Linked DNA regions of Stegostoma tigrinum. The protein of the gene in region 1 purifies or fractionates together with the protein of each later gene. This does not show direct contact. Links are inferred from orthologs where the notes say so. Each region holds a gene or a part of one and is shown on either strand. Other genes may lie near its edges.

Region 1 (11,679 bases):
TGGTATTGGAGGGGGCAGGTCTGTCACTGTATTACACTGGGTAGAGTACTGGTGGAGACAAATTTATCACTGTAGAACACAACAGTTCAATTCCAGTAGATATATATCCATTGCTTTATAACATTGGATAAAGTACAACTGGTTACAGGTTCATCATGGTATAACACTAGAATCCAATTCTGGGGATACAGCTTCACTGCTGTATAACACTGGGGGTACATTATGGCTGGGTAGAGGTCTTCAGTGGAATACAGCACTCATCGAGACAGGTCCGCTGCGTTATAACAAGTGGCTTCGCTATCTGGGTCAGCATCTATTGTCCCACTCTAATCGTACCGAAGGTGGTAGTGGTGAGCTGCCTTCTCGAATCACTGAAGACCACTTGCTGTCGGTAAACCCGCGATGTTGTTAGGAGTGGACTTCCAGGATTTTGACTCAGTGACATTGAACAAATATCAACACTGTTTCAAGGCAGAATGATAAGTGACACGGAGAGTAACTTGCAAGAGGTGGTGTTGCATGCGTCTGCTGCCTTTGGCCGTCTAACTCATGGTTGTTGTAGATTTGGAAGGTGCTGCCGAAGGAGCCTTGGTGAATTTCTGCGATGCATCTGGTAGATGACGGACACTACTGACTGTGGAGCATCAGTGGTGTCGGAAATGAATGTTTCTAGATGTAATGCCAATCAAGCAGTCTATTTTGTCCTGGATGGTGCTAAGCTTCTAGAGTGTTTTTGAAGCTGCCCTCATCCAGTCAAGCGAGGAGAATTCCATCACACTCCTGACTTGTGCCTTTGCTGGGGGATGGCTTTGAGGAGTCAGGAGGTGAGCTACTCATTGCAGGACTTCCAGCCTCTAACCCACTCTTGTAGCCAGTCTTTATATATCCGGTTCAGTCCAGTCCAGTTTCTGGTTGATACTGAGGGAATCAATAGTAGTAATGTCTTTGAATATCAAGGAATGTTTGGTTTGATTCTCTCTTGTTGGCAGATTATTTGTCACCTGTGTGGCACTTATGTTACTTGTCACTTTTCAGCCCAAGTCAGGATATACGTCCAAGTCCTGCTGCATCTGGACATGGACTGCTTCAGTATCTGAGAACATACGCGTGGTGACGATCATTGTGCAATCATCAGCGAACTTCCCCATTTCCAACCTTATGTTGGATGGAAAGTCATTGATGAAGCAGCTGAGATGGGTGGTCCAAAGACACAACCCTAACGAAGTCCTGCAGTAAATCTGGAGCTGAGTTGACTGACTTCATCACTCACAACCATCTTCCTTTCTGCTAAGACTCTATGATAATCTCCGTGGAACCAGGGGAGCAGAGCCACATCCAGCCAGACAGAATTGAAGAGATTCTGGAGGTGGATGCTATGTTTATCCTGTCAAAGGGTGCTGACAGCTCAGGTGGAATGGGGACGAACAGCTCTTCTTTGTGATGCTGATGCCATTGTCACTGCTCCATTTTTATCTGTTGAAAGTTTATCATTAAACCATTCTAACCAGTCTGTCCAGAAGTGAAAAGTGGTGATAGGCTCATTGCAAAGATGAGTCTGTGACACATATATGATAGATTATTCTCTGAGCACTCAAAAATGCAAATTCCTCAGAGGCTGAGACAAATATCACTCCCCAACTCAAACACGATACCGCTCGGCTTCTACTGAAACAATTACAGACCGTCATGATACAGAACAACTATTTCTATTGCTTGTGACTTTAGAGCTGTACACACTTAATAACATTCTGCTTTCCCAGGTACAAGTGGGTAGTCATTTACAGGGTGAGGGAATTATGTACATTTCCTGCTAAGCCTTTTCCATTAATTCAAAATCCACGAGAGGAACACCTCAGGACATCCTAAACTATTCACAGCCAGTGATGCACTTTTATAAGCTTTGTCACTGTCGTAGTGACATAGCTGCAAACTTGTGCACAGCAAACCTATCACAAACAGCAATATGAAAATCTCCAGTGTTTTTGTTTTAGTGATGTTGGTTCACATAAAGGAGAATTCCCCTGCTTTTCCCCTTATCCACTGTCTCATCAAGAAAGACAGCACTTCACCAGTGTGGCACTACCTTACTACTGGCTGGCAGCAGATGTCCCAGTGCACTGGAACAGTACCACCAACACACTCTGCATAAGATCCTGCAAATCCACAGGGAAGAAAGATCGACACTAGTCCTCAAACAGGCCAACATCCTCAGCATGAAGGCACTGGCTACCTTTGATCGGCCACACTGAGCTGGGCATGTCGTTCACAAGACCGGCATGAGACTCCCCATCAGATGCTCTACTCCTGAAACAGCAGGCACGCCCTAGGTGGACAGAGGAAGTGCTTCTGCGATAGCCTCAAGACCTCAGTGGCAAAGTGCATCATTGCCACAGACACCAGCAAATCACTGGCTCAAGACCATACAAGGTGGAGGAGAAACATCCAAGAAGTTATCATGCACACAGACTTGCCATCAGGAAAAAAATGGAAGACAGGTGAAAACAGCATGCTGCCACACCAATACTCCACCCACCCCTTCCCATGATCACCACATGCCCCATGTATATCAGAGCTCGTAACTGTCACATCAGTCCATTCAACCATCTACACACTCATCCTGACAGTGAAAGAGAGACATCCTCATCTGCAAAGGACTGCCAATGATGAGGAGTACTTGCTGAAATGCTTGTAGTCTCAGGAGTGGGGCTTGAACTCACAACATTCTGAATCAGAAGCAACATCGACCCACTGAGCCACAGATGAGCCAGTACAATGATGGTATATACCCAGGCTTGGAATGAGATGGTTTTGAACCAGCCATCTAGGCTGCCAAGGAGCATGAGCCCCTAGTCTCAGCTATATTGCCATGCAAAGTTGTGTCAGATCCACCCCTCCCTCAACCAGCTTCAAAATCTCCCCACCCCCGATCTCATCCCAAGACCAGCTCCCCCATTCTCATTGCTGCCTCCTTGACCTATCTGTCTTCTCTCCCACATAACCACTCCTTCCACCTCACTGGCCAATCCCCACCACCACTTCCTACCTATGCTCACCTTTACTAGCTTCATCCTCGCGTCCTTCACCTGTCTGTCTTCTCTCCCACCTATCCACTCCACTATTCACTTCTATCATCGTCTCCCCCACCTCTCTATTTATTTCAGAGCCCCCTTCGCCTCCCCCATTTCTGAAGAAGGGTCCCAAACCGAAGTGTCAGCTTTCCTGCTCTTCTGATGCTGCCTGGCCTGCTGTGTTCCCCCAGCTCCACACCTTGTTATCTCAGACTCCAGCATCGGCAGTTCTTACTTCATATCAGCACTGCCTGCCCGTGTCACTGGAGGACACAGACAAGAAAAAGGGTTAGAAAATACTACAAAATGGGAGAGGCTAAAGCTCAATTTAACACTCAAGACCAAATACTCCAAATTTTTCCAATATCAATTGTTAGAGAGACTTGCTTCCCTTGAAGGTGAAGGCACAAATAAATATAAATATATTATCATTTCAAACTCTGTTGAAATCCTTTTCAATATATTCTACAGTAAATCAAAACCAATTTGGATGTCTCAATGAACTAGCTTCTAAGTCACAGTCTTCATTTTGGCCAATAGATATGGAGTAACAAGTACAATGAACATAGATTGCACACATCTTAATAATCTGTGCATCTACCTGGGGACCACACAGATCCCATGTGATACACGACAACCTCCCACAGCCCAAACCTTGGCTCTGGAGCAGCAAACCCATACAGTTCCTCCTGTAAGTTCAGTCCATTAAGTCCCCTTGTTTAATGTAATGAGCTATGCAGTCCACACATAGTTTGCACAGTTCTCATAGTGTGATACACTTCTCCTTCTGTAACATACCGAGTGGTTTTCAGTGCATACAGATTCTCATGCAACACTGCTTATCTTTATGGCCTATCTGATATAATCCTAGGTTCACTCTGTACAGATATTTTGCTTGTCCACTATCAATAATATCTTTCCCTTGAGCAGGACAAGATCATCACAGATTATTAATACAATGAATGTCCTTGGACATTGAGTTGAACAAATAACAGATATACACCAACAGAGCTAGGAAGATAAAATTGAGGTTTAAAGCAGTTTATTTTCTGTACCTAGCAATTATGAATGGGCACAAACTCATTAATAGTGAGTTGTTATCATACCAAGGAGAACTTCAACATTTCAGAGATCTGCTATAATTGAGAGATGAGCTTACCTTTCTGAACATGAATGATGTCTGGGAAATTGGACAGTAGGCCTTGATACAGAGAAAGTGTGTCCAACATATGGAACAGATCATTCTTGGGCTGTTCTGCAAACAACTCTCCAATGGCTTCATATGTTTTGCCCGTGTTGGAAATGGCCTTGTTCAGAGGCACTGCAAGGTGTGGTTGATCCAATTCAAAAGCCTGACTTATTGAATTAAAAGCATTGCCTAATTTCTGAAATTCCTTCCTGAAGCCTCCAACATGTTTGCGGCAGAGGTCTGTGGCCACATTGGTCAGTTGCAGCACACTGTCATCCATCCTCTTAGAGAAGGTTTTGAACGTGTCCACCCTCTCCTCCACATCCTGAAGATCCTGATGTTCCTGTGGGATTTGGATGGTCAGGAAAGAATTGGCACCAACTAATTCATCTTTCTCCATCCGTCTTTTTCCCTGTTTCCAGGCCCGGTCGTCTGTGCAAGTCAGGAAGTGTTGAAACCCCTCGTACTGGGAAAGCACTGGATGGCTTGTCATGTGGTCCATCCACAGAATCAAACGCCTCTTGCGTTTCTCAATGAAATCATCTTCAAATCGGCCAGTGGCCTGTTTCTCTGGCAGATGTGGCACAGAGATGACAGAGAACTTGTGCAGCAGCCTATTGTGTAGCCAGTCAAAGTGTTTGTAGCGACGATAAACGGGGTTGTTGGTTTGACTAGGTGTCAACTTATAGGAGATGTAACTCTTGATGCCTTTAAACTTGGTTTGCTTCGTGGGTTCCTCAATGGTACAGGTGAAGGGATGAGGGCTCTCACTCCACTGAGGCCCATCAGGGCTCATCACTACACTATAGGTTTCTGAAGTCTTAAAGATAGCAGGCACTTCACCCAGGATGAATGCTTCCCCACCAGATCTAACAAAACTTGAGAAGCGGTTGAAGTTCTTGCCCACAGCACTGCTTTTAGTGCTGAGCCTGCTGGCAGTGCTGTCCTGCCTTTCCACTGATGGTTTTTGCCTGTACATCACATTAGGATACGGGGAGACTGTGTATGGATGGAGATGATTGTGGCCATTGGTGTTACTGGATACACCAGGTTCATCAAACACAGTGGAAGAGTCATCCCAATCATCCCAATCATCATCATCATCTTCCTCATAGCTGCCCTGTTGGTAGGAAGAGGCTGAAATGGGGGAGTAAATTGCAGAGTAATTCCCTGGTGAGTGGTGAGTGAAAGCAGAATTGGAAGTACAGGGTAAGGGTGTACTGGGTTTGAGAATTTCCACATAAGAAGCTGGAAAGAGCCCTTTGTCCCCTCGGCTGTTCTGGCCTTCCAGCCAACCATCCAAAGACTTCTCGTTAAAAACCAGCAGCTGTTCGTTCTCTTGGATGCTGATCTCCTCGGGGTTCTCACTCTGGAAGCTGTAAAGAGCTTTGGCTTTGATGGAAGCCATGGTCCAGGGATGGGGAAGAAGGGGGTGCTGTACCTCCTCGGGGATCCGGCAGCTGGAGGTGGGTGCGGATTATCGTTCCAACTCTCTCTAATGCTCGGCTTTCTCCAGCGGGGAGAAGAAAGGCGGACGGCTGGTTCGCAGCTCCTACCGACTCCTCTGCTCCCGGTACATCGTTCAGCTCGGCAATTTGTTCCTTCCGTCCAAGACCCAGCTACAAACTGTGTCCCGGGATACTGTAACCTTCCCAGCGATGGCCGCGGCCAAACTCCTCTTTGTTGTGATAAGCTCCCGTACTTTGACGCGCAGCAAAACTTTTGCAGCTTGCAAAAGGAAGTTCGCGACTGCCCTCTAGGTATTGGATCTTGCGCACTTCAAGGAAACACATCCCACTGATCCTTCAAAACTGCCGGGATCAAGCCAGGAACTGACTGCTGGGACCAAAAAAAACCCGAAAAAACTGCGCACGCTGTAACTCACAAAAAACCCAGAAATTGCTGGAAAAGCACAGCAGGTCTAGCAGCATCTGTAAAGAAAATATTAAAGTTGACGTTTCGGGTCCAGTGACCCTCCCTCAGAACTGACTGCTGGGGTTTGTTCCAGTCAACACTCCCTCCCTCCGTCCTCAGTAACTAACCAACCAATATAGGGTTTTGGTGGGTTATTTGACCATTTTAGCCGTGGCCAAATCAGAGCACAGGGACAAGAGGGAGCCAGTCAGCTCCTCAAGATTATAAACTATGATCATGGTTGATCTAATATCTGGAGGCTAACAGGGAATAGTGAAAAGAGATTCTGGAATTTGGCGCATTTTATCTTTCCAAATAACCTGCACAGATTTTATGCAAACACAGGTGTACTGGAGAGCACAGCGAGTGTTTGAGACCTTAAAATGAAACAAATAACTGCGGGTGTTGGAAATCTAAAACAAAAATATAAATTGCTGGAGAAACTTAACAAATCTAGCAGCATCTGTAACTACGTTACTCTCTCTACAGATGCTGCCAGGCCTGTAATGTTTCTCTAGCAAGATTTTTTTTCAGATTTCCAACCTCTGCCGATATTTATTTTGTTTTAACGTTTTCAAACAAAAGCAGAAATTGGAGAAACTGCTAAGATGCTTTGGCTTTATTGAAGCGATTTTAGTGCTGTATGAGCAATTACATTACCTCCATCAAATGTGCCTTATGTCATGGAACTGGTGTCCAAGTTTAGACAAAATGTGAGAATAAAACTATTCGCAGTCCCCATTTCCGGGAGAAACAAGACTTTGCGGTGAAACTAAAAACAAGCATCCCTCGCGTGAGCTTTTTACCATGCAGGGCCATCCAATCATTTCCAAGCACATTCCAAATTATTTTCATCACAAAGAATTGACTGCTTCAAACATAGTCTCACTGAAGTTCCACACTGTTAAACTTATACACATTGATGTGCAGCTATCTGAAAAAAAAAGAACTTGTGCAGTGAAAAAGAGAACCTGAAATCCAATTGTATCAGTGATAATGGGAACTGAAATCCAATTGGTTTGGTTTTCAGAAGTGTGATAAATCTGCAAGTTGTCAGTTTATAGCTTTGAACAGGTAATCGTTCTTCATTAATGGTTTTTAACTAATTTACTCATTCTAAAGAAAGCGTAAAGAAAATATTCACTTTTTTAAACAATTAAGTTCATGCAAGGAAACTGAATTGACGGCAAATAACAACTTGGATCAATCAAACTTTACATTACAGAGTGCACCTGGATTAATAGGAATCTGGAAACTTATCATTTTCATCCACTGAACTCTTGAGCTTTCATTAGTAATTAGGAGAATCTGGATGACATAAATGCCTCAAATCATTTGCAAATGGGATCAATATTTTGCCACAGGAAAAATGAAAATAACAAAATTGTGATAGATTAGAGAAAAAGTAATATGAAATGAAACAGGAAAATAGTGTTGATGCTTGAGATTTGAAATAGAAAATGCTAAAAATACACAGCAGGATAAGTATCATGTGCGGAAAGAGAAATAGGTAACATTTTTGGTCAAGATGACCTTTCATCAGAAGTATATCTCCCCACAGATGCTGCCTGACTTGCTGAGTGTTTGCAACATTTTCTGTTTTTAATGAAAACTATATATGGAATAATTCTCACAAATATAAGTGTTATAGAAAGGGAAGGGGTTTTGGGTCAATTGAACTTTCCAAATACTGGATCTTTCACTATTTCATTGTGATTTTGATGGGGGCAAATCTGGAGATCATGCAGAACCTGTTGACCTGCACTTTAGTCTTCAGTACTCAAACTTCATCAAGAATCACAGGCGACAGCAGAACATGCCACTCCAAAGTAGGTGGTGACTTTTTCAAAAAGTAAACAGATGTACTGGACTCTTGATTTCAAATCTCAGGATGCCATAGTAAACAAGATTGCGGATTTCGCAGGGAACTGACAGGATCCTGGTCAAAGCACTTTCCCCTCTCCTTATTCCTTGTGCTATAAATACACCCTCGTAGGAGTTGGACAAAATAATGGGACAAGTCTGTATTTAAACTGCAGGAGCTCAGACTTAACACAGCCTGGCCATGGGCACTAATTACAACTCTTTAATTTCACTCTAAAATGTTAGGACTTATGCTTTTCCAACCCATCCTGTCTCCATTTAATTGGATGCTGGCATTCCCAGTGACTGTTTAAATGCTTTGGAACTGTTTTTCAGATGTGTGGCTGTGGACATTTCTGGCAGAAAATAGTGAACTATATTCTCTCGACCATGAAGGAATCAAAGCCCCATCTACTGGTAGAGTGTGGCAACTCAGCAAAACCAGGAAAGTCAGCAGCGAGAGTTCCAGCGGATAAAGGGAGTGTGAGGCTAATCTCTTTCTGGAAACTGTTGGTGAGTAACAGGTAAGTTTTGTGACATCGATATCAGAGCAGAGAGCATCAGAAGCTTCAATTTAGTATTAAGAATATTTAACATTGTAAGGATTAATTAACATAAAGGAATAAGACACGGCAGGAGATCTCCAAATCACAGTCTGCTCTTCTTGCTCGATGTGGGAAGCCAGGCACACTTTCAGTGCCCGGGAGCTGCATGTGTGCAAGAAGTGTTTCCAGCTGCAGCTCCTGGAAGCCTGAATTTCCGAGTTTGAGCGAAGTCTGGGGACACTGAAGAGCATTTGCAAGACGGAGAGTGTTGTGGATTGCACGTATAGGGAGATGGTCACACTGCAAACTCAGAATCCACAGGCAGGAAGGGTTTGGATAACCAGCAGGCAGAGCAGCAAGGCTAAGCAGTCAATGCGGGAATCTCCTGTGGCTACTCCCCTGCAAAACAAATATACATTTTTGGATACTGTTGAGGGGAATAGCCTCTCGTGGATAACAGCAGCAGCCAAATTCATGGCAGGATGGTTGGCTCTGCTGCAGAGGGAGGTAGAGATAGACAGAAAAATGTTATAGTTATTGGAGATTCATTTGTAAGGGGAATAGAAGGCATTGCTGTGACTGTAAACAAGAGTCTCGGATGGTATGTTGTCTCCCTGGTGCTAAGTTAGGGTCTGGTTATCTCGAGGTAGTTGCAGGACATTCTGGAGGGGGAGGGCGAACAGCCAGTGGTTGTTACACGTTAGTACAAACGACATCAATGAAAAAAGTATGAGGTCCTAAAAGCAGAATACTGAGAACTAGGTAGAAAGTTGAAATGTAGGATCTTAAAGGTAGTTATCTCAGAATTACTACCAGTGCCACAAGCTAGTCAGAGCAGAAACAGTAGGATATATAGGATGAACACGTGGCAGGAAAGATATTGTGAGGGGGAGGGTTTTAGAGGGGGAGGGTTTCAGATTTGTGGTGAACTAGGACTGGTTCTAGTGAGGCTGGAACCTGTACAAACTGGACGGGTTACACTTGGCAGGACCAGGACTGATGTCCTTGGAGGAGATACTTGGTAGAATGGTTAGGGAGGGTTTAATGTGGCGGGGGAATGGGAACCAGAGGAGTAGGGTAGTGAGGCAGCAATTGAGGGAGAGGTAGAAACCAAGGAAAACAAAAAGAACAAGAACAGGGAGGGAAGTACTGCTGAAAAGACCAGGAGAGGTAATCTGAAATGCCTGTATTTCAATGTGAGAAATACAATAGGCAAAGTAGATGAACTTAGAGCTTTGGTTAGTACATGGAATTATGAAGTTATTGCAATTACGACGACTTGGCTGAAAGACAGACAGGACTGGCAGCTGAATGTCCCAGGTTTTAAATGTTTCAGGAGCGATAGAAGGGGAGGTAAAAGGGGTGGGCGAGTTGCGTTACTGGTAAAGGAGTATCTCACAGCTATGCAGTGAGACAATATGGGTAGAACTCAGGAATAGGAAAGGTGAACTCACAATGCTGGGGGCATACTACAGGTCTCCTAGCAGCCAGCAGGAGAAAGAGGAGAGAATACGTTGGCAGATTTTGGAAAGATGTAAGAACAGCAGCGTTGTTGTGGTGGTGATTTTAACTTCCCCTCTGGACTGGACTGGGACTCACTTTGTGCTAGGGACTTGGATTGGGCACAGTTTGTAAGGCCCATTCAGTGGGAATTCTTGACACAATATGTAAACAGTCCAACCAAGGAAAAGGTTATACTGGACTTGGTTTTGGGAAATGAGCTTGGCCGGGTAAGTGAAGTTTCAGCGGGAGAGCATTTTGGGAGTAGTGACCAAAATACAGTGAATTTTAAGATATTCATGGATGGCGATAACAAAACTGTCCTCAGGTGAAGGTGCTAAATTGGGGGAAGACAAACTACAACAATATTAGGCAAGATCTGGAAAATATTTATTGGAGGTGGCTGTTTGAGGGTAAATCTACATCAGACATGTGGGAGTATTTCAAATTGCATTTGATAAGAGTTCAGGAGTGGCATGTTCCTGTGACAATGAAGGATAGGTGTGGGAAATTACATGAACCTGGGATTACCAGGAACGTGATGACCTTCATCAGAAGGAGAAAGGAAGGAAGCATATGTAAGATCCAGGAGGATAGGAATTGATGAAGCCCTTGAAGTATATAAGGAAAGTAGGAAAGAACTTAAACATGGAATTAGAAGTGCTAAAAGGGGTCATGAAAATGAGCAAACAGGATTAAGGGGAATCCACCAAGTTGCTATTAAAAAGAAAGAGGTGTTCTTCCTTTTAATACATCTTAAAAAGTATTAAGGTAGTCAAGTCCTGATGGGATCTATCCCAGATTATTGAGGGAGGTGAGAGAGCAAATTGCCGGAGTAGTGACTAACATCTTTGTATCCTCTTTGACCATAGGTGAGATCCCAGAAGACTGAAGATTAGACAATGTTGTCCACCTGTTTAAGAAGGGTAGCAGGAAAAATCCCGGAAATTCTAGGCCAGCAAGTCTCACGCAGTGGTAGAGGAATTATTGGAAAAGATTTTCAGGGACAAGATCGATATACATTTAGAACCAAATGGATGTATTAGCGATAGACAGCATGGTTTTGTGTAGGGGAGGTCATGCCTCACTAATTTGATCAAGTTTTTTTGAGGAGGTGGTGAAGATGATTGAAGAGGGGAAAGCAATTGTTGTCTACATGATCTTCAATAAAGCGTCTGACCACGCTCAAAAGGTGAAGTCACATGGTATTGGGGTGAGTTGGCAAGACGGATATAGAACTGGCTTAGTCATGGGGGACAAAGCGTAGAAGTGGAAGGATGCTTTTTGGAATGGAGAGCTGTGACTAGTGATGTTCCACAGGGATTAGTGCTGGGACCTCTGCTGTTCGTGTTCTACATAAATGAAATGGAGGAAAACGTTACTGGTCTAATTAGTAATAGATACAAAGACTGGTGGAGTTATGGATATTGAGGAAGATTGTCAGAGGAAACAGCAGGATATGGATCAGCTGGAGGCATGGGCAGAAAAGTGGCAGATAGGGTTTAATTTGGACAAATGTGAGGTGATGCATTTTGGAATATCAAGTACAGGTGGAAATTATACAGTGAATGGCAGAACTTAGGAGTATTGATATGCAGAG
Region 2 (11,647 bases), on another chromosome or scaffold:
TCTAATCTGTACCCTCTGGTTCTGGTCCTGTCCACTGCTGGGAAATTTTTTCTTCCCTATTTACTCTGTTCAGATCCTTCATGATTTTGAATACCTCGAACAACTTTCACATCATCTTCAAGGAGAACAGTCCTAGTTTTTCAAATGTATCTATGTAACTGAAGTTCCTCATTACTGAATTGTTCTCCTGAATCTTTTATCATGAATCATCCCAATGTATTCGCCCACCCTTGCAAATGTGTGCTGCTCAGCACTGGACAACGTATTGCAAGTGAAATCAAAACTGTGTGTTTTAGACTCTTCTCATCATTTCTCTGGTACTCCATGACCCTATTTATAAAGCCCAAAATCTTGTCTGCTTTATTAAACTCCTCAACCTGCGATGGCATTTCAATGATCTGCATATTCGCCTCTAGATCCATGTATTTTGGCACCACTTTAGAATTGCGCCCTTTAGTTTTTGTTGCCTCTTCTGTCATTAAACTAATAACCCAGAACCCCAGGCTAATGGTCTGGGACATGGGTTCAAATCCTACATTGGCAGATCATGAGGTTTGATTTTTAAAAATCTTATTTTGAAAGCCAGTCTGAAACCACAGTGACCACTCAGCATCAACCTAGGTGCCAGAAATGAGAGTGACAGCCCCTGAAAAGTCCTTCTCACTAATATCCATGTCGCAGTATTAAAATTGGGAGAGATGTTCCACAGACTAGCTGAATAACTGCCTGACATACTCATACTCATCTGCATGACACAGTAACCAATAATCATTGCACAGTGTATTGATTGAAAGCAGGTGGACCTCGATAACTGAGGTTCTTGATTGAAGTTATTAACCCGGGCCAGTCATTCCCAATTTGGTCCCAACCATGACCACATCTACATCCAGAACATTGAGACCCTTCAGAAGCATTTCTCCCTGCAAGTCCTGAAACACATACTCTCAGCAATGTGCCGGCATCTCCAGGCACTGCAATCCAGCCTGCCCCAGCTCTCAGCCTCCCTCTCCCAGACCTGCGGAGGACCTCTCCTGTTTGTTATCCTTCATAGGATCTACAAACTGAACACACAGTTCTACTCAGCTTTACTGTACACGAAAAACTGTAAGTACAATAAACTCACTGGTCCCTGCCACCTTAAACAGGATTCCTCCCACCTCCCAAATCCCCAGCCTGACCCTGCACCTCCCCCACAATCTATCAGCCGCCATTAGCCATGAGGCCACTGACCGAGAACCCACTGATAACGTCACATCCGCCACCGCCGCGTACACCACTTCCGGGACCACGAACGCGACTGCTGCTGTAGCCACCGCCTCCACTTCCAGAACTAACACCACAAACATCTCCCTCACCGTCACTGTTGCCGCCCACCCCGCTCCGTCCACCGGTGATGCCACTTCGCCCACCACAGATGCCAACTCCACTCTGCCCACTGCTGATAGAACCCCGCCCACAGCCAGCAACCCCAGAGAAGACAGCCACACTGAGCCCTGTCGAATCTTCACCTTCCCCCCCCCCCCCCCCCCCCCAGACCTCCCACTGACTGAGGATGAATGGTCAGTCCTTAGCAAGGGGCTCACCTTTGTTCCCCCTCCATCCACACATAACGAATACCAGTCAGGTTTGGACGCCGAGCAGTTTTTCCGCCGCCTTCGCCTCCATGCTTACTTCTCTGACTGTGAGCCTAACCCTCCCTCTGCTGACCCCTTCACCTGCCTCCAACACAAGTCCTCCTCCTGGACACCACCCTCCCTCAACCTCTTCATCTCCAACTGCCATTGAGACATCAATCGCGTCAACCTCTCCACCCCTCTCACCCACTCCAACCTCTCCCCTGCAGAAAGTGCAGCCCTCCGCTCCAATCCCAACCTCACCATGAAACCCGCAGACAAGGAGGCGCAGTGGTAGTATGGCGCACTGACCTCTACATCGCCGAGGCCAGACGCCAACTCTCCGACACCGCCTCCTACCGCCCCCTGGATCATGACCCCCCCCCCCCCCACCCCGAGCAACAAACCATCATCTCCCAAACCATCCACAACCTCATCGCCTCAGGTGACCTCCCACCCACAGCCTCCAACCTCATTGTTCCCCAACCCTGCAACGCCCACTTCTATCTCCTTCCCAAAACCTACAAACCTGCTGGCCCTGGTCGACCCATTGTCTCCGCCTGCTCCTGCCCCACCAAACACGAATCCACCTATCTGGACTCCATTTTCTCCCCCTTGTTCCAGGAACTCCCTACCTATGTCCATGACACCACCCACTCCCTCCACCTCCTCCAGAACTTCCAATTCCCCGTTCCCCAACACCTCATTTTCACCATGGACGTCCAGTCCCTATACACCTGCATTCCCCGTGCAGATGGCCTAAAGGCACTCCGCTTCTTCCTGTCTTGCAGGCCCGACCAGACCCCCTCTACTGACACCCTCATCCGCCTAGCCAAACTCGTCCTCACCCCCAACAACTTCTCTTTCGATTCCTCCCACTTCCTACAGACAAAGGGGGTGGCCGTGGGTACCTGCATGGGCCCAAGCTATGCCTGCCCCTTTGTAGGTTATGTGGAACAGTCCCTCTTCCGTACCTACACTGGCCCTAAACCCCATCTCTTCCTCTGTTACATTGATGACTATATCGGCGCCGCCTCGTGCTCCCAAGAGGAGCTCAAACAGTTCATCCACTTCACCAACACATTCCACCTCAACCTCAAGTTCACTTGTACCATCTCCAACACATCCCTCCCCTTCCTGTCTCCATCTCAGGCAACCACCATTTCAAGATATCCATTTCAAGCCCACCGACTCCCACAGCTACCTGGAATACACCACCTCCCACCCACCTTCCTGAAGAAATTCCATCCCCTGTTCCCAATTCCTTCGCCTTCACTGCATCTGCTCCCAGGATGAGGCATTCCACTCCCATACATTCCAGATGTCTTCTTTCTTCAGGGGCTGCAACTGCACCGCACCCCACTCCTCCCCCCCCCCCCCCCCCCCGGCAGTGCTCGAGAACACCCTCGACCATGTCTCCTGCATTTCCCGTAACTCATCCCTCACACCCCGTCCCTGCAATACCCGCCAAAAGAGAATCCCCCTCATCCTCACATACCACCCCACCAACCTCCGGACATAATGCATCATCCTCCCAACACTTCTGCCGTCTACAATCCGACACCACCACCAAAGACATTTTTCCATCCCCACCCTTATGTGCTTTCTGGAAAGACCACTCTCTCTGGGACTCCCTTGTCCGCTCCACACTCCTCTCCAACCCCAGCACGCCTGGCACTTTCCCCTCCAACCGCAAGAAGTGCTACACTTGCCCCCATTCCTCCTCCCACACGCCCATCCCAGGCCCCAAGATGACTTTCCACATTAAGCAGATGTTCACCCGCACATCTGCCAATGTGGTATACTGCATCCGCTGTACCATTGTGGCTTCCTCTACATTGGGGAAACCAAGCGGAGGCTTGGGGACTGCATTGCAGAGCACCTCTGCTTGGTTCGCAATAAACAACTGCACCTCCCAGTCACGAACCATTTCAACTCCCCCTCGCCTTCCTTAGACAACATGTCTGTCCTGGGCCTCCTGCAGTGCCATAACGATGCCACCCGAAGGTTGCAGGAATAGCAACTCAAATTCTGCTAGGGAACCCAAAACACTGCATCCCAAAACCAGCCCAGCTCGTCCCCACCTCCCTAACCTGTTCTTCCTCTCAGCTATCCCCTCCTCCTACCTCAAGCCACACCTCCATCTCCTATCTACCTACCTACCTACTAACCCAATGGGACGCCCCATTGACCTGTCCCCTCCCTACCTCCCCACCTACACTCGCCTTTAGTGGCTCCATTCCCGCCCCTTTTAACTTGTCTGTCTCCTCTCCACCCCTCTTCTCCTCTGTTCACCTTCGATCTGCCTCCCCCTTTCTCCCTATTTATTTCAGAATCCTCTCCCAATCCCCCTCTTTGATGAAGGGTCGAGCCTCGAAACGTCAGCTTTTGTGCTCCTAAGATGCTGCTTGGCCTGCTGTGTTCATCCAGCTCCACACTTTGTTACCCTAGTCAGGAAAGCCCTGGCTGAACAATATGATCAGGAGTTGAGAATCTCCTCAGTTCAGGGGACTGACTCTCGGCTAGCTGGCTACAGCCTGTGTAGCGTGTGCATGGAGATAAAGGATGATTTTGGTGGTGGGGCGCCAGCCTCCGTGCAGTTATTTCACATGGAGAATTGGTTGGGAGCCCTCAATATTGACATGGGCCTCCATGAGGTCTCGTGGCATCAGGTCAAACAGAGGCAATGAAACTTCGTGCTGATCACCACATACCAGTCCAAATCCTGGTCTTTGTTTATGAATCAATGCTCCTCGTTGAACACCACTTGGGGTGGCAAAGGACAGCAGGTACGCTGGATGGGAAATTTCAATGTCCATCAGCAGTAGTTTGGCAGCACCAGTAACAAGTTCAACCATGACTGTGTTAAAGCAGCAGAGCAAGTCTGAGGGGCCATATGATCTATTTCAGTGTCCTGTCAATGTCATTTACATGCTTCTTGATGCATTTCCACTTCCTTTCAAATGCTCCACTTTTTTTTCGTTATTTCAAATTTCCTTCTTTTGAAATGATCACAGATCATCCATCATCACCCCACTCTTTTATTCCTGCTGCCAACCTGCTTGAAACCTGTATTACAGTATCTTTTACTTAAACCAATTCTACTGAAATGTTAAGATAATAAAATGTGAGGCTGGATGAACACAGCAGGCCAAGCAGCATCTCAGGAGCACAAAAGCTGACGTTTCGGGCCTAGACCCTTCATCAAAGAGGGGGATTGGGAGAGGATTCTGAAATCTGATGAAGGGTCTAGGCCCGAAACGTCAGCTTTTGTGCTCCTGAGATGCTGCTTGGCCTGCTGTGTTCATCCAGCCTCACATTTTATTATCCAGAGAATCTCCAGCATCTGCAGTTCCCATTATCTCTGATACTACTGAAATGTTAAATGTGTTTCTCTCTACAGAGGTATTGTCTAAACACCTGAGGTCTTTCCAATTTTTTTTTCAAATTTCAGATTTTCTTCTGGATTATTTTCCAGTTGTTTTTATGCACCTTTCCTGCTGTATGGCACAATGCTACGTATCTGGGTGTGTACTCAGCTTCGTCAGTTCGTCTGGAGGGTCTGAGCCCGAAACGTCAGCTTTTGTGCTCCTGAGATGCTGCTTGGCCTGCGGTGTTCATCCAGCTCCACACTTTGTTATCCTGGTCTGTTCGCTTCCTGGTCAGTAACAACAGGGAAGGGAGGGTGGAAGCATGACCTCATCGGTCTCCAATCGGTTCTGGCCGTGGATGACTGACGTGCAGGAGAAGCCAATGAAGGGTTAGGAAGGCGGGGATAATGGGACCTGCCAATGCTGGAGAATCCGAGATAACAAGGTGTGGAGCTGGATGGACACAGAAGGCCGAGCAGCATCTCAGGAGCAGAAAGGCTGACGTTTCGGGCCCAGAGCCTTCCGAAACATAAGCTTTCCTGCTCCTAAGATGCTGCGTGGCCTGTTGTGTTCATCCAGCAGTTATATTGGAGAGGAAGGCGGGTCAGCTTTCGGAACGCGGGGGAGCGAATCAGTGACGGAATCACTATGATCGACAGGGACCTTAGCCAATGATTGGTCATATGGGTGGTGACATCTGACTGATGTCCAATGCACCCATTCAGAATGAGCGATGTTGTGATTGACGGAGGAATGTCCAATCTAATTGGGCCAGAATGGGTGACGCACCCAGGAAAGGCGTCATTACAAGGGCAGGCCGTGCGATGAATGGCTTAGATTCGGATGATTGGCGGTAGATCTGGCGAGTGGGATGTGCCCGGTTATCCGGCGGGCCTAGGGTGTGAGCGGAAGCGCAGGCCTCAGGCGCTGGGAGTGAATCAGTCCCCGAGCGGCGCAATGGGGAACCGGGGGATGGAGGATCTGATCCCGCTGGTTAACAAGCTGCAGGACGCTTTCAGCTCCATCGGTCAGAGCTGTAATCTCGACCTGCCGCAGATCGCCGTCGTGGGAGGGCAAAGCGCCGGCAAAAGCTCGGTGTTGGAGAACTTCGTCGGCAGGTGGGGGCGGGGGGGAGAGACTGAATGTGTAAATCGGGAGAAAGGGAGAGAGAGGGGGAATGTGTAAACTGGGGGAAAGTGTAAACCGGGGGAAAGGGGGGGGAGAGAGAGAGAGGGGGAACGTGTAAACCGGGGGAAAGGGGGGGAGAGAGAGAGAGAGGGGGAACGTGTAAACCGGGGGAAAGGGGGGGAGAGAGAGAGAGAGAGAGAGAGGGGGGGGAACGTGTAAACCGGGGGAAAGGGGGGGAGAGAGAGAGAGAGAGAGGGGGGGGGGACGTGTAAACCGGGGGAAAGGGGGAGAGAGAGAGAGAGAGAGGGGGGGGAACGTGTAAACCGGGGGAAAGGGGGGGAGAGAGAGAGAGAGGGGGAACGTGTAAACCGGGGGAAAGGGGGAGAGAGAGAGAGAGAGAGAGGGGGGGGAACGTGTAAACCGGGGGAAAGGGGGGGGGAGAGAGAGAGGGGGGGGAACGTGTAAACCGGGGAAAGGGGGGGAGAGAGAGAGAGAGAGGGGGGGAACGTGTAAACCGGGGGAAAGGGGGGGAGAGAGAGAGAGAGGGGGAACGTGTAAACCGGGGGAAAGGGGGAGAGAGAGAGAGAGGGGGGGAACGTGTAAACCGGGGGAAAGGGGGAGAGAGAGAGAGAGGGGGGGAACGTGTAAACCGGGGGAAAGGGGGAGAGAGAGAGAGAGAGGGGGGGGAACGTGTAAACCGGGGGAAAGGGGGGGGGGGAGAGAGAGAGAGAGAGAGAGAGAGGGGGGGGGAACGTGTAAACCGGGGGAAAGGGGGAGAGAGAGAGAGAGGGGGGGAACGTGTAAACCGGGGGAAAGGGGGAGAGAGAGAGAGAGAGAGGGGGGGAACGTGTAAACCGGGGGAAAGGGGGGGGGAGAGAGAGAGGGGGGGGGAACGTGTAAACCGGGGAAAAGGGGGGGGAGAGAGAGAGAGAGAGAGGGGGGGGGAACGTGTAAACCGGGGGAAAGGGGGGGAGAGAGAGAGAGAGGGGGAACGTGTAAACCGGGGGAAAGGGGGAGAGAGAGAGAGAGGGGGGGAACGTGTAAACCGGGGGAAAGGGGGGAGAGAGAGAGAGAGGGGGGGGAACGTGTAAACCGGGGAAAGGGGGGGGGAGAGAGAGAGAGAGGGGGGGGGAACGTGTAAACCGGGGGAAAGGGGGGGGGGGAGAGAGAGAGAGAGAGAGAGGGGGGGGGAACGTGTAAACCGGGGGAAAGGGGGGGGGGGAGAGAGAGAGAGAGAGAGAGGGGGGGGGAACGTGTAAACCGGGGAAAAGGGGGGGAGAGAGAGAGAGAGAGAGGGGGGGGAACGTGTAAACCGGGGGAAAGGGGGGGGAGAGAGAGAGAGAGAGGGGGGGGGAACGTGTAAACCGGGGGAAAGGGGGGGGAGAGAGAGAGAGAGAGAGAGGGGGGAACGTGTAAACCGGGGAAAGGGGGGAGAGAGAGAGAGAGGGGGGGGAACGTGTAAACCGGGGGAAAGGGGGGAGAGGGAGAGAGAGGGGGGGAACGTGTAAACCGGGGGAAAGGGGGGGGGGGAGAGAGAGAGAGAGAGAGAGAGGGGGGGGGAACGTGTAAACCGGGGAAAAGGGGGGGAGAGAGAGAGAGAGAGAGGGGGGGGAACGTGTAAACCGGGGGAAAGGGGGGGAGAGAGAGAGAGAGAGGGGGGGGAACGTGTAAACCGGGGGAAAGGGGGGGAGAGAGAGAGAGAGAGAGAGGGAGGGGGGGAACGTGTAAACCGGGGAAAGGGGGGGAGAGAGAGAGAGGGGGGGGGGAACGTGTAAACCGGGGGAAAGGGGGGGAGAGAGGGGGGGGGGGGAACGTGTAAACCGGGGGAAAGGGGGGGGAGAGAGAGAGAGGGGGGGGAACGTGTAAACCGGGGGAAAGGGGGGGAGAGAGAGAGAGGGGGGGGGAACGTGTAAACCGGGGGAAAGGGGGGGAGAGAGAGAGAGGGGGGGGACGTGTAAACCGGGGGAAAGGGGGGGAGAGAGAGAGAGGGGGGGAACGTGTAAACCGGGGGAAAGGGGGAGAGAGAGAGAGAGAGGGGGGGAACGTGTAAACCGGGGGAAAGGGGGGGAGAGAGAGAGAGAGAGGGGGGGGGGAACGTGTAAACCGGGGAAAGGGGGGGAGAGAGAGAGAGGGGGGGGAACGTGTAAACCGGGGGAAAGGGGGGGAGAGAGAGAGAGGGGGGGGAACGTGTAAACCGGGGAAAGGGGGGGGAGAGAGAGAGAGGGGGGAACGTGTAAACTGGGGAAAGGGGGGGGGGAGAGAGAGAGAGAGGGAACGTGTAAACTGGGGAAAGGGGGGGGGAGAGAGAGAGAGAGGGAACGTGTAAACTGGGGGAAAGGGGGGGAGAGGGAGAGAGAGAGAGAGAGGGAACGTGTAAACTGGGGGAAAGGGGGGGAGAGGGAGAGAGAGAGAGGGGAACGTGTAAACTGGGGGAAAGGGGGGGAGAGGGAGAGAGAGAGAGGGAACGTGTAAACTGGGGGAAAGGGGGGGAGAGGGAGAGAGAGAGAGGGAACGTGTAAACTGGGGGAAAGGGGGGGGAGAGGGGGAGAGAGAGAGGGAACGTGTAAACTGGGGGAAAGGGGGGGAGAGGGGAGAGAGAGAGAGAGGGAACGTGTAAACTGGGGGAAAGGGGGGGGGAGAGAGAGAGAGAGGGAACGTGTAAACTGGGGAAAGGGGGGGGGAGAGAGAGAGAGAGGGAACGTGTAAACTGGGGGAAAGGGGGGGAGAGGGAGAGAGAGAGAGAGAGGGAACGTGTAAACTGGGGGAAAGGGGGGGAGAGGGAGAGAGAGAGGGAACGTGTAAACTGGGGAAAGGGGGGGGCGAGGGAGAGGGGGAGAGAGAGAGAGAGGGAACGTGTAAACTGGGGGAAAGGGGGGGGAGAGGGAGAGAGAGAGAGAGAGGGAACGTGTAAACTGGGGGAAAGGGGGGGGAGAGGGAGAGAGAGAGAGAGAGAGGGAACGTGTAAACTGGGGGAAAGGGGGGGGAGAGGGAGAGAGAGAGAGAGAGGGAACGTGTAAACTGGGGGAAAGGGGGGGGGGCGAGGGAGGGAGAGAGAGAGGGAACGTGTAAACTGGGGGAAAGTGGGGGGGGGAGAGGGAGAGAGAGAGAGAGAGGGAACGTGTAAACTGGGGGAAAGGGGGGGGGAGAGGGGGGGAGAGAGAGAGAGAGAGAGAGAGAGGGGGGGGAACGTGTAAACTGGGGGAAAGTGTAAACCGGGGGAAAGGGGGGGGGAGAGAGAGGGGGGGGGAACGTGTAAACCGGGGGAAAGGGGGGGGGGAGAGAGAGAGAGAGAGAGGGGGGGGGAACGTGTAAACCGGGGGAAAGGCGGGGGGAGAGAGAGAGAGGGGGGGGGGGGGAACGTGTAAACCGGGGGAAAGGGGGGGGAGAGAGAGAGAGAGAGGGAACGTGTAAACTGGGGGAAAGCGGGGGGGGAGAGAGAGAGAGAGAGAGAGGGAACGTGTAAACTGGGGGAAAGGGGGGGGGGCGAGGGAGGGAGAGAGAGAGGGAACGTGTAAACTGGGGGAAAGGGGGGGGGAGAGGGAGGGAGAGAGAGAGGGAACGTGTAAACTGGGGGAAAGGGGGGGGGGAGAGGGGGAGAGAGAGAGAGAGGGAACGTGTAAACTGGGGGAAAGGGGGGGGAGAGGGAGAGAGAGAGAGAGAGGGAACGTGTAAACTGGGGGAAAGGGGGGGGAGAGGGGGAGAGAGAGAGAGAGAGAGGGAACGTGTAAACTGGGGGAAAGGGGGGGGGAGAGAGAGAGAGAGGGAACGTGTAAACTGGGGGAAAGGGGGGGGGAGAGAGAGAGAGAGAGAGGGAACGTGTAAACTGGGGGAAAGGGGGGGGGAGAGGGAGAGAGAGAGAGAGAGGGAACGTGTAAACTGGGGGAAAGGGGGGGAGAGAGAGAGAGAGAGGGAACGTGTAAACTGGGGGAAAGGGGGGGAGAGAGAGAGAGAGAGGGAACGTGTAAACTGGGGGAAAGGGGGGTAGAGGGAGAGAGGGAATGTGAAACCGGGGGGAAGGGGGGGAGAGAGAGAGAGAGAGAGGGAACGTGTAAACCGGGGGAAAGGGGGAGAGAGAGAGAGAGGGAACGTGGAAACCGGGGGAAAGGGGGAGAGAGTGAGAGAGGGAACGTGAAACCGGGGGAAAGGGAGAGAGAGAGAGAGAGAGGGAACGTGTAAACTGGGGGAAAGGGGGGGAGAGAGAGAGAGAGAGAGGGAACGTGTAAAGGGGGGGAGAGAGAGAGAGAGGGAACGTGTAAACCGGGGGAAAGGGGGGGAGTGAGAGAGACAGAGAGGGAACGTGTAAACCGGGGGAAAGTGGGGGAGAGAGAGAGAGAGGGAACGTGCAAACCGGGGGAAAGGGGGGGGAAGAGAGAGAGAGGGGGAACGTGTAAACCGGGGGAAAGACGGGGGGGGAGAGAGAGAGAGGGGGAACGTGTAAACCGGGGAAAGGGGGGGCGGAGAGAGAGAGGGGTGAACGTGTAAACCGGGGGAAAGGGGGGGCGGAGATAGAGAGAGAGGGGGAACGTGTAAACCGGGGGAAAGGGGGAGAGAGAGAGAGAGGGGGAACGTGTAAACCGGGGGAAAGGTGGGGGGGAGAGAGAGAGAGAGGGAACGTGTAAACCGGGGGAAAGGGGGGGGGGGGAGAGAGAGAGAGAGAGGGGGAACGTGTAAACCGGGGGAAAGGGGGGGGCGGAGAGAGAGGGGGAACGTGTAAACCGGGGGAAAGGGGGGGCGGAGAGAGAGAGAGGGGGAACGTGTAAACCGGGGGAAAGGGGGGGAGAGAGAGAGAGGGGGAACGTGGTAAACCGGGGGAAAGGGGGGAGAGAGAGAGAGAGAGAGAGAACGTGTAAACCGGGGGAAAGGGGGAGAGATAGAGAGAGAGAGAACGTGTAAACCGGGGGAAAGGGGGAGAGAGAGAGAGAGAGAGAGAGAGAGAGAGAGAGAGAGGGGGAACGTGTAAACCGGGGGAAAGGGGGGGGAGAGAGAGAGAGAGGGAACGTGTAAACCGGGGGAAAGGGGAGGGGGGGAGAGAGAGAGAGAGGGGGAACGTGTAAACCGGGGGAAAGGGGGGGGCGGAGAGAGAGGGGGAACGTGTAAACCGGGGGAAAGGGGGGGCGGAGAGAGAGAGAGGGGGAACGTGTAAACCGGGGGAAAGGGGGGGAGAGAGAGAGAGAGAGAGAGAACGTGTAAACCGGGGGAAAGGGGGAGCGAGAGAGAGAGAGAGAACGTGTAAACCGGGGGAAAGGGGAGAGAGAGAGAGAGAGAGAACGTGTAAACCGGGGGAAAGGGGGAGAGAGAGAGAGAGAGAGAACGTGTAAACCGGGGGAAAGGGGGAGAGAGAGAGAGAGAGAGAGAGAACGTGTAAACCGGGGGAAAGGGGGAGAGAGAGAGAGAGAGAGAGAACGTGTAAACCGGGGGAAAGGGGGAGAGAGAGAGAGAGAGAGAGAGAGAGAACGTGTAAACCGGGGGAAAGGGGGAGAGAGAGAGAGAGAGAGAGAGAGAGAACGTGTAAACTGGGGGAAAGGGGGGGGAGAG

Evidence for each region.
Region 2: the proteins of snx33 (region 1) and dnm2a purify together in Homo sapiens (co-immunoprecipitation; 3 studies listed by BioGRID and IntAct, with this or other methods). This does not show direct contact. The link is inferred for Stegostoma tigrinum from reciprocal best matches to the Homo sapiens genes SNX33 and DNM2.

What each region holds. Positions count from the first base shown.
Region 1 is NC_081389.1:25,229,456-25,241,134, reverse strand, and holds the start of snx33 (sorting nexin-33), read right to left. Parts: upstream 6,017-11,679; 5' UTR 5,666-6,016; coding exon 4,228-5,665; intron 1-4,227. UniProt on the Homo sapiens protein: Plays a role in the reorganization of the cytoskeleton, endocytosis and cellular vesicle trafficking via its interactions with membranes, WASL, DNM1 and DNM2. Acts both during interphase and at the end of mitotic cell divisions.
Region 2 is NC_081388.1:24,863,783-24,875,429, forward strand, and holds the start of dnm2a (dynamin-3), read left to right. Parts: upstream 1-5,717; 5' UTR 5,718-5,827; coding exon 5,828-6,102; intron 6,103-11,647. UniProt on the Homo sapiens protein: Catalyzes the hydrolysis of GTP and utilizes this energy to mediate vesicle scission at plasma membrane during endocytosis and filament remodeling at many actin structures during organization of the actin cytoskeleton.